3 linked regions of the Tamandua tetradactyla genome follow. The protein of the gene in region 3 interacts with the protein of the main gene of each other region in a pairwise test. Links are inferred from orthologs where the notes say so. Each region holds a gene or a part of one and is shown on either strand. Other genes may lie near its edges. The genes, in order: NRAS, RAC1 and RAP1GDS1.

Region 1 (3,752 bases), on a different chromosome or scaffold from region 3:
AGGGTAGAATACATTACCTATTAAAATTACAAAAATTAAACAATGTATAGGCAAACCATTTCCTTAAGTTAATGGCCAAATGTTAAAATGTTATTTTTCATATCATTTATAATCTTGTCACAGTCCACTTAACGAAGTTTGGTTAGATTTCAGTGAAAATTCTCTTACAGAGTAGGTTTTTTTTCCTTCGTGGGATGGGGGATAACTTTACTACAATTAGTATGTTTGGTGCAGAATTTCATGCAAATGAGGTGTGCCGGCAGTGTGATAATTTAAACGTATTTAAACAAACAAAAAAGGACGAATGCACAAACTTGCTGCTTAGATCACTGCAGCTTCTAGGACCCAGTTTCTTTTACTGATTTAAAAAAAAAATAAAAAAAAAAGTTGTGCCTGAAATGAATCTTGTTTTCTTTATGAGTAGCCCCCTGGTTCCTGTGTCCTGTAAAACACAGGCACTTGAGCCTTGGTGTAGCTTGTTTGACTTTATATCACGGGAATGGATTGGTCTGATTTCTTGGCCCTCATCTTGAATTGGCCTCATTCAGGGTCCCTGGCCAGTGGACAGAAGGCTTTGTCTAAGATGAGAATGGTCAGCTCAGGGGGTGTGGGGGAGGGCACTTCATCTTCCCCGTTGTCGTTTGATCTCTGGGTAGAGGCCGTTTATCTTTGTAACAAAACATTTTGCTTTCTCCAATTTTCTGTTAATGGCGAAAGAATGGAAGCGAATAAAGTTTTACTGATTTTTGAGACAATAGCACCCAGCGCTTTCATTATTGAAGTATCCCGTGTGGGAGGGGCGGGTATGGGTGGGGCGTTCCGCGTGACTCCTAGGTCGGCGGCCCACGTGGCCAGGGCGGGGCCTCGGGCGCCCGGGGCACAGGCTGATTACGTAGCGGGCGGGGCCGGAAGTGCCGCTCCCTGGTGGGGGCTGTTCATGGCGGTTCCGGGGTCTCCAGCATTTTTCCCGGTTGTAGTCCTGAATCTGTGCGAAGCGGAGGCAGCGGAGCTTGAGGTAAGGCTCCAGCGTGTGTAGCCTTCGGCTTTTAAGCGCACGGCCGCCTCTTTGATGCCAGGAGCGGAGCGGAATCTGCGAGCTGGAGACAAAGGCCCTGGGCGGGGGTCCTTCGTTGTAGGCGATCTTTGGAGACAGGCGGGAGGGCGGCCTGTAGGCCTTCCCCCAGAACTGGAAAGTCTTGCGGGAGGGGTGGGAGTGGGGGGTTGCTCCTTTACCTTAGGCTGAGGGCGGGGCCCAAGGACTGCTGAAAAAATAGATGAGGGTGGGGGAAGCCAGAAGAGTAGAATCCAGAACTCTGAAGCCCTGATTAACCTGCAAGTGTTTCTGCGTTCCTGAATCACTTTGAGAACCAAATGAAGAGTCACGTGTGTGAAGCCGACCTATAAATTTCAATCCCAGTTCTAGTAACTATTGATTATAGGAGACTTTGAAGTACTGTAGATGTTCCTCTTCAATTAACCGTAATTGCTGCTTTCTCACAGATTCTTGCGGGTGTGAAATGACTGAGTACAAACTGGTGGTGGTTGGAGCAGGTGGTGTTGGGAAAAGCGCCCTGACAATCCAGCTAATCCAGAACCACTTTGTAGATGAGTATGATCCCACCATAGAGGTGAGGCCCCGTGGTGGTATGTTGACCCTAGCTCTCACTTTCAGTCTTTCCCTTTACCAGCTAAAGGAATAAATATGTACGAAAGAAAGTAAAAGATTTTCTTGAATACTGCATTCAGTAATATAAGTACAATTTTCCATGTTTATAGAGAAGAGTTTTTACAAACTGTTGAAGTGTTCTCAAAAGTTCATAGTTTTTAACAGCTCTAAAAATTGTTGCAAACTCAGTAGTTGACCTCATTCAGTTTCACATATGACATCTCTATCAAATAGAAACAGGCCATAGATAATAGTGTGATGAAAATAAAGGATTCAGAGACCTGGATAGTCCTCAGTTTAAAATTTCTTCTCTAGTTGAAGCAGGCGAGACCATAGGTTGATGTAAAAAGTACATAAGATTTTGAGTCACTATGCCTAGGATTCAAGTCCTGTTTGCTGCTTACTTATGTGATATAGAATAAGTCCTAGTCTTTTTCATTTATTAAATTGCCATAAACATGTCCTGCTTACCACATAAGGGTGTTGTGAAAATCAAGTAAGATTATATGCTTGAATTACTTGTGAGTGGTAAAGCACCTCAAAAATAGTACTTGTTCTAAGGCCCTTTAAATAAGATTTTTAAATTGTATTCGATTTAGAAATTACGAATTCTGGAAATGTTTAGGGTTTTTTTGGGGGGGGGGGGTGGCAGTACCTGATCTGGAAATTGAACCCAGGTCTCCCGTGTGGAAGGTGAGCATTCTACCACTGAACCATTTAGAAATTGTTTTAATCCACAGCTTCAACAACTTGGCCTTCCTACAACCCGCCTACTGAGTGTTTAATCAGTGCACACCAACTCTAACATAGTCACTATTAAAAATTGATTATAATCCTTGACAGAAATCTTTATTTCAGCCTTGACAGCTTCATTATCAATGCTTAGACGCTTTTTAGAAGACTGTGTGTAAACTACACTGTAAGAAATACAAATTTCTTATTGTAATTTACACTCAGTCTGCAGTTCATTGATTTTTTTACATCCTTATACATCCGTGTAATCACCATCCAGATCATTCTCTCATATATCTTTCCAGTTAATAACCTTCCCCATACCACCTGTAAATAACCACTTTTCTGACTTCTCTAAATCCATTTTGCCTGAATCTGTATTTAAGTTGTAATTTTGCTCATTTCCTCAAAACACATAAAATTAACCATCTCTCCTACTTCACGAAAGTTATATTAAAGTGAATTCTATGTTAATTTGAAAGAGTAAATTTAGAGATTGACCGTGAAGTGAGTGACAGAGGAGTTGATCCATGGGTCAGGAAAAAGGTGTTTTCTGTTTCAGAGCAGATCTTTACTAAGAATGATGATATTATTTTCTTTAAACTGAATCCCTAGATTGAACAAAGCCAAGTTGGAATTATTTTTTATATGATCTGTGCATGTCTGTCTTCCTAAGGAATTAATTATAACTGTACCTGTTAGGAACTTTTAAAAACTTGATTATTTCCCAAATGTACAGTCTGTCATGATGAGGAAAAACTTTTTGATCTTGTATCCAAAATTTGTGTATTTAGTTGTAAACACAAATGACACTATGTCCAGGCTTGGTTTATAATTGGAGGTATGTTTAACATTTTAAAAGTAGAATAAACAGCTCAAATAAGAATACTTCGGATTTAAACCTTACTATATGAATTTAATGTCTAATTTCCTAACTCCATTAGAGCTCTTTTGTAAATTACCATGTATTTTCATCTTTTCCAGGAACAGAGTGACCACATTTTCCTTTCTGCAGGCATATAGGATTTGGGGCTTTTTTCCCATGGCGACAAGTGCTTTCTGTTTGCGATTATATATTAGCAGTTTGAGATGCAAACCAGATAGAAATGGACTTGAATAGTTGGAAATCTATTTAACTTTGGCAATAATATTGCATTCCCTGTGGTTTTAATAAAAATTGAATTCCTCTCTCCGCATCACCTGCCTTCCAAACCCTCAGGATTCCTACCGAAAACAGGTGGTAATAGACGGTGAAACCTGCCTGTTGGATATACTGGACACAGCTGGACAAGAGGAGTACAGCGCCATGAGAGACCAATACATGAGGACAGGCGAAGGCTTCCTTTGTGTGTTT
Region 2 (3,752 bases), on a different chromosome or scaffold from region 3:
TTTTACTTTCTGGCTTTTCAAAATTTCTTTGTTTCGTTGTTTTTTTCTCTCAATTTGTTTTTATTACTTAAAATTTGCCTTTAAATTGCTTGAAATTCCACATTACGTTACTTCTTCAGCCCCCCCAAGATTTAAAACCACACAATTTTTTAATAAAAAGAAAATTCCAACTATATCATCAGACATGTGATTAGAAGCTAACAAATATTTCTAGGATAGGGAATTATGGATCTAGATTTTCACTGAAATAATGGTTGGCACTTATTATCTCTAATTTAAAGTATTATGGCTTGGTGGGGGTTTTCTTGAAAGGTACATTTCACTTCTAATGCTGCTTGGCCCTAGTCAAATCAGTATCAAATAAAGGATTAAAAATTCAACGTCAGTAACTCTGCCTAACACTTCCTCCCCGACCTAGCAGTGAATAAGAATAATGGTAGCTGGCACTTCCTGAGCAGTCACTATGGGGCGGGAACCGACAAGGTGCTTACTATCCAGCTTCTTATTTAATTCCCACAACTTTCCCTTGAGGCACCTCTCTTGGGAGATGACCTGCTCAAGATTACCCCACAAGTAAATGGTGAGGTGGGGACTTGACTTGATGGGAGGATTCAATTCTCGAAGTTTTCAACAAGTATCTGACTAGAATAAATAAGCCAATACCCATTTATCTAGATCCATAACCCGTTAGTATTAAATAAATATACCTACTAGCGCTTATGTTTTAGTTTCTGACATTTTAAATTGAGAATATTACATACTATGGCTATTAATACTGAATTATCAGCAATTCACTGCTTCCTTAAAAAAATTAGTCTGTATTATTTCATATGCTAACATTACCGATTCGGCCTTTTTAACTTTTAAAGGAAATGCAGATAACTAAGAATGATTATTAGACAAAGTGATATCTGTTGAGTTCATTCATGATGCAAAAGAATCAAAACTTCATGTAAAAGAATCTTGTTTTCCTTATTAAACCAACTAAATGAACTTTTTTTTCCACCCTAAATGACAGAAAGTAAAGCTGTCTTCTGCAAGGTTAAAAAATATATTTCTGAGTGAAACGATTTTTAATTATATGCATAGAACCATGAAGTGTTCAGAATTCTTCACACTTGTGAGTCTGACAAATCAGTCAGATGGGCGGCTTAAAAAAATTCAGTTGCCTAATTGTTCTTGCATCTGAATAAGTTAGAGGAACAACTTCGAATGCCTAAAATTATCTAAATAAGCTGGGAAATCACAAATCACTTTAGAGACTAAGAGCTAAATTGGTACCAATGACAAGTATGGAGAACACTAATCAAAAAGAAGAACGATGCCAAAACAATTCCCTCGACTTTGCACGCTGGGAAACGTACCAGTTGCATTCTGAGTTTGACGAAACTGGTAGTAGTTCTTCAAGCTTCCTTGTTAACGCTAAAACTACACAAGCCATGCAGACACGCACAACTCTGCTAGGATTACACTGAGATTTTTGTTTCTACGGGAGGGGAGGGAAAAAACTGCATAAGTCAAGTCTTGTCTTCCTCGAGGGCCTGTGACCATCGGACAGCAATGAAAAGAAATGCCTTGAGTCACACAGGGCAACCCAGCTCAGGGAGCTTGCTCTGCTACATCCCATACCTAACACCCTAACGCACTCCCTCCCCTCCTTTTTAGCCCATATTCAATGAAGAGAAGAGTCGTAATCACATCCAGCTACTTCACAGCTAAACTCTTAAACGTTTCTCCCAGAAAGAGCAAACACCGTGACTCTAAAGCTCTAGGAGTGGCCAACAAGCCACTCATCAGAGCAAGTTTAGGGTCACCAAAGCAGCCCCGGAAACAGTGATCCAACAGTGTTAACTTGACAAGCGTTACCCGCCGCCACCGGGACACGGGAGGCGAAAAAGACAAACGAAAGGAGCGCGCTTAAAAAAAAAAAAAAGGCAAATTCCAAACGCCACCTAATCACCGTGCAAACGCGGGGAGGGCGGGGAGAGGCTTTCGGTGACTTCTGCCCTGGCGGGACGCGGGGCTCGGGAAGAAAGCGGGAGGGTGGGGTCCCCTTTTCCCTCCGGCCGGCACTCAATTCCCAACACCCACTTAAAAAAAAAAAAAAAGCCGGAACTAGGCACGCGGCGCCCCGCGGGCCCCGCGGAAGGTGGGAACGCCGCGGCCCTCAGAGAAGGCCGGGCGCAGGCCCCACGCGAGTCCGCGGTGCCGGCCGGACCTCGGCCTCCGCCAGGCCCGCCCCCGCGCGCGGCCCCCGCCCGGCCCGTCCGGGTCCGGTGCACTCACCCGTCTCCCACCACCACACACTTGATGGCCTGCATCTGGGCCGCTCGCTGGGCCGCGGCGGCGGCGGCGGCGACCGGACGCTGAGGTGAGGAGCGGCGGGCGCGGCACGCGGCAGGCTCGCGGCGCGGCGGGGCGCGGGGTGCCGGGACCGCTGTCCACGCCGCCTGGCCCTCAGTGCACTGGCAGCCAAAGCCCAGCTGCAGCCACCACCCAAAGCTGGCGGAAAACTGCAGAGAAACAGGAAATGGCCGCTCCACTCACATCCGGCCTCCCTTCCCCCGCCCTGGCGCCGCCGCTCCTAGGCTCCCGGGCGGGGCCGCTCCGGGGGCTTCCTCTCGGCCTCGGAGATGCTCGGGAATGCTCGGGAACGCTCGGGAGCGCTCGGCTCTCAACGCGGACGGACGGGGCTGGCCGCCATCTTTGCGCCGCTGACCGGGTCTTGGCCCGGGGACTAGTCTTCGAAGGAAGTCCTGAGTTCCCGGGAACAGCTTTTCTCTGAGAGCTGTCCCAGACCATCTGAAGGGCGTTGACAAACCCCCCCCTTTTTATTATCCTTTTTACGTGATAGTTAACATGACAGAAGGTTCTTTTAGGAAATTCGGAGTCCAAAACCAGAAAGAAGAAAGATGCATATAACACGCAGTTGCAGATATCACCAAGGTTCATTTGGCCAAAAATGTAAACTTTTCTCACGTATGCACTTTCTCTTATGTTTAATGTTTTGCGTGCCTGTTACTTCCTATGATTTGTACCAAGTTCTGAGGAGAAAACTGAACCAAAGTTCCTTTGCGTTGACGATGTTGGCACATCATTAATGTGCGGATGACATGTTTCCAATTAATTATTTTTTATATACATAATGAACATGTCAAAATTGAGAGGATCGCCCTGAGTCATTGTTAGAACCTCGTTAACATCGGCTTCCTATTCCGTTATACCGTAATGAATTCAACCAGTTCTAGTATTGTGGGGCAGATGGATTGTCTCTAAAAAGCAATGCTGAAAGGTACTTGCTTGTGCAAGAATCTTTGTCTATAGCTTAGTTGCTTTAGATTGTGTTCCCATAAATGGAGTTAGTGCATCAGTAGGGGTGAGTGTTTTTAAACCTCGATTCGTGTTGTTGCGTTGCCCCACTGGAAGGCAGTTACGCTCCCTGGTTAAGAGTGGACCCTCCTGGGAAGTTGATTTCTGATGTTTCATCTTGTGGGCCCTTCTCTTTCTATACCTCACTCTGTTGCCCACCCGTGTAACAGTCTTCTGAAATCAGATCTTTTCTGCACACATATTTAAGAAGAAAAAAAAGACCGTATTTATCTTGTAATTATTTCAACATGAATGTGTTCCCAGGGAAAGGATACCTTTTTGTGTTGTCGATACAGATCAGCCTTGAGTAGTTGAAATTTCAAGGGTAGTAGCGGAATAACATCCCCATTTCTGTCACTGCTTACACAGATTTCTGCTGAATT
Region 3 (3,752 bases):
TCGCAACAATCAGCCATAGTTGCTGTTTGGGCAAGGCATGGGATCTCTAATTCACTATTTTCTATTATCATATATTCTGCCAATTTCACTGTTTATTTACCTGGCGCTTGTAGATATTTGAGTTTGCTGTCCTTCATATTTTTGTTATAGCTTCTAAGTTAATAAAAATTTTATTGGATTCAAAATTGTAATACATTTAAACTTATATTACTTTTTGAAGATTAATTTATTTAAAATTAATTTTGAAAACTAATACAGAAACATAATTAGTCAAGAGCAAAGTTAACTGCCTGTAATACATGGTCATCAATCATACTTAAACCAAATTCTCAATTGATCAGAATGATATAAAAAATCAGAGAGAGAGGGGATGGAATATCTGCCCTTCCATAAACTAATTGTGTAGTGTAACCTTTGGCAAGTTACTTAAACTGTTCAAATCTCCATTTCATATCTAATTTAAAAATTAGTCACAATTTTGTATATGTTCTGATGAAGAATAATATTTTTAAAATCTTTTTATTTTGAAATAATTTCAAACTTATAAGGCAGTTGCAAAAATAATACAAAATTCGTACAGAATACTCCAACATACCTCTCACCCAGATACCCAAATCTACCAGCTTTTAACATTTTGCCACATTTGCTGTTTCATTCTATTTATTTATCTGCCTGTCTCTCCATCTCTTTATCAGTCTGTTAGTTTGTCAGGATGTCTGTTTTTCTATTTTTTAAATATCTGAGACTTGATTTTATACATCATGCTCCTTGACTATTAGTACTTTCACGTACATTTCCTAAGATCAAGGGTATTCATTTATATAACTGCCTTAAGTACAGTTATCAAGCTCAGGGTATTTTATATTGACATAAAGCTTACAGGCTATATTACCTATTTTCTTAAGTCCCAGTAATGTTCTTTTGGGCCTTTTCTCCACCATCATTAGATCCAGTCCAGAATTACTTGTTGCATTTGATTGTCATTGCCCTTTTTCATCACTTCATTCATTTTGAGGCTGCTGAGTAACATTCCATTGTATGTTGTACTGTTTTAAGTCTCTTGTGTTTCCCAGAAAAGCCTTTGCTCTTTTAATCCATTCTTGGGGGTGCAGACCTATTGTGGGTAGGACATTTTAATTAGTCTTTTTCAATTGAGATGTGACCCAGCCCATTCAAGGTGGACCTTAATCCTTCACTGGAGTCCATTTTGTAGATAGCCAGTGAAACCAGAAGCCAGGAGAAAAGTGCTCAGAGACATTTTGGAGAGAAGGACCAGCAGATGTCACTATGTGCCTTCCTATGTGACAGGAACCCCAGATGCCAGCAGCCTTTCTTGAGAAAACGTATGTTGGTGCCCTAATTTGGACAGTTTCATGACCTTAGAAGTGTAAATTTGTAACCTAATACGATTGAAAAAGCCAACCCATTTCTGATATTTTGTGTTCTGACAGCTTTAACAAACTGAAATATATGTGTATACCACATTTTATTTATCCATTCATCTGCTGATGAACATTTGGGTTGCTTCTTCCTTTTGGCTATTGTAAGTAATGCTGTTATGAATATTGGTGTACAAATATTTCTGCCCGAGTACCTGCCTTCAGTTCTTTTGAGTATATGCCTAAAAGTAGGAATTGCTAGGTTATATGGTAGTTCTATGTTTAACTTTTTGAGGAATTGCCAACTGTTTTCTGCAACAGCTGCAGTCTTACAAATTTCCACTGGTAATGTACTAAGGTTCCTATTTCTCTGAATCTTTATCAATTATTTTCTGTTTTATTATTATTTTTCTTATTTTAATGACAGCCATTCTAGTGGATATGATTTAGTATCTCATTGTGGTTTGGTTTGTGTTTCCCTAATGGCTAATGATATTGAATATCTTTTCATGTGCGTATTGGCCCATGGAAAAATGTCTGTTCTTTGGAGAAATGTCTGAGTCTGCTTTTTAATTGGTTTTTGTCTTTTTGTCTAGTGAAGAATCTTAATCAAAACTTTTTGAAAGTTTGAGTATATAACCCCACACATTTATCTTTATTCTATATAAGTCTGTAAAAATTTCAGTAAATTCTCCAGTAAAATTTCCTTTTATCCAAATCACATTAATTGTTTCTTGTCTGGTCTTCCTTCCCTGTCAGGTATGTCCTAGGATCCAGGGCAGAAATTGGAAGCAGGATATCTCTTATCCCTGAATTTCAGTGCTAGGAGCCAAAGAGATATAGATCCTGAAGAAGTAGTGATGGCCACAGCTAAGATACTAAGTCCCAGATCGCTGTATTAATCTGAGGAGCTAAGTAGGTTACTAGAACTAAGAAATAAATACAATGGGGCTGAGAAATGAGGAAAAATGGCATAATAAAGTAAACCAGTAGATCACTGTTCTGGAAGAATTCTGGTAATAGAGTACTGATAGCTGCTTTTTGTGTCTCTGGCTGGTTTGCAGGCACATAATAGATATAAGAAGCTAGAGCATGGCAAATAACTTTCATGTATTTTACTTTTAGACAGTGTTTTTCTCTATTATTGGCTCAATTAGGTTGCCTGTACAGTAGTCAAGTTTGAAAGTATATAGTTTCCAGCATCAAGAGTTACTTTTGTGTATCAAGGTCATTCCAGCAATTCTTGTACAGAAGCTGTTTGTAAAGACAGATTACAGATTTTTATCAATATTGCTCCAGTCTTATACTTGAGTTTAAATTTTTTTGTTAGATACCACTGAATTCTGTTGATTTATTTATATTAATTTTCCAAGTTGACTTATTACATCCTGGGTATTGACCACTATTTGATATGATAGTATCTTAAATCTTTCCATTTTGGGAAACGATTTAGGAGAGAAAATCTCCCTGATATATATTTTTTTAGTCAGTACTGAGATAAAGAATTAATAAAGCCTGGATCTCAGTCCAAACAGTATTTGCTAATAAAAAAGACTGTGTATTAACTTACTAGCAATTTGAGTCATGTCATATCCAAGGACTCTATTTAACAGGTATAAATCAGTGAAATAATTCTTGGACTCTTAAGTGAAAAGGTATTTTTGCATTGTGTGAAATAAAATTTTACAAACTCATATTTTTATCCCTTGTAGTTTAATAATCTACTTATAAAGATCATCTGTCATACTCTTGACCCTTTAATCAAACATGCCAAGTAAGACTACAATGTTTCTGGTTCAAACTAAAATGAAATTTAAATCCATTTAATGATGAATGGAAAGTGACTGCTTAGAAGTTTTTCTCTACTTACAGTGAAATATAGTCATTGTTTTTAGTGGAATGCGTCTTAAAAAAATATTTCTTAATCCTGGCAGTTCACATAATAACATGTAATAAAAGATGCAAGTTCAGGTAACTCAGAAAATAACATAGCATGTCGGATTTATGAAGTTCCCACTATGGAAAATAGTTTGAATATCCTAGAAGAATTTCCTGCTCTAGATGAATTTTTCATCTGATAGTAGAAATAAACAAAAATAGTTTTTATAAGCCCAAGTTTATAAAAACTAGCAACATGAAAAGTACAGAAAAATTAGAGTTCTATGAAATTTTATGGGAATAGTTTCTTAAATAAATTTACAAAATTATTTATAAAGTATAAATTTGGAATTTAGTCTCTTGGCATATAGTAAGGATTGACTAAATTAATCTAAGCCCTTATATTTTGTATGAAATCATAATCTTCTTATCTGAGATAAGGTGGGTAAGTGATGCAAAATGTGAAATTATAATCAACTTGTAGAGTAGAAAAGT

What was found.
Region 1: the proteins of RAP1GDS1 (region 3) and NRAS interact in binary tests that used the Homo sapiens proteins (3 or more experiments, as listed by UniProt). The link is inferred for Tamandua tetradactyla from reciprocal best matches to the Homo sapiens genes RAP1GDS1 and NRAS.
Region 2: the proteins of RAP1GDS1 (region 3) and RAC1 interact in binary tests that used the Homo sapiens proteins (3 or more experiments, as listed by UniProt). The link is inferred for Tamandua tetradactyla from reciprocal best matches to the Homo sapiens genes RAP1GDS1 and RAC1.

The regions. Positions count from the first base shown.
Region 1 is NC_135337.1:6,612,278-6,616,029, forward strand, and holds the start of NRAS (GTPase NRas), read left to right. Parts: upstream 1-888; 5' UTR 889-1,015; intron 1,016-1,500; 5' UTR 1,501-1,517; coding exon 1,518-1,628; intron 1,629-3,617; coding exon 3,618-3,752. UniProt on the Homo sapiens protein: Ras proteins bind GDP/GTP and possess intrinsic GTPase activity.
Region 2 is NC_135349.1:5,559,726-5,563,477, forward strand, and holds the start of RAC1 (ras-related C3 botulinum toxin substrate 1), read right to left. Parts: upstream 2,543-3,752; 5' UTR 2,322-2,542; coding exon 2,287-2,321; intron 1-2,286. UniProt on the Homo sapiens protein: Plasma membrane-associated small GTPase which cycles between active GTP-bound and inactive GDP-bound states.
Region 3 is NC_135350.1:27,504,672-27,508,423, reverse strand, and holds the start of RAP1GDS1 (rap1 GTPase-GDP dissociation stimulator 1), read left to right. Parts: upstream 1-1,111; 5' UTR 1,112-1,279; coding exon 1,280-1,343; intron 1,344-3,752. UniProt on the Homo sapiens protein: Acts as a GEF (guanine nucleotide exchange factor) for the Rho family of small GTP-binding proteins (G proteins) that stimulates the dissociation of GDP to enable subsequent binding of GTP.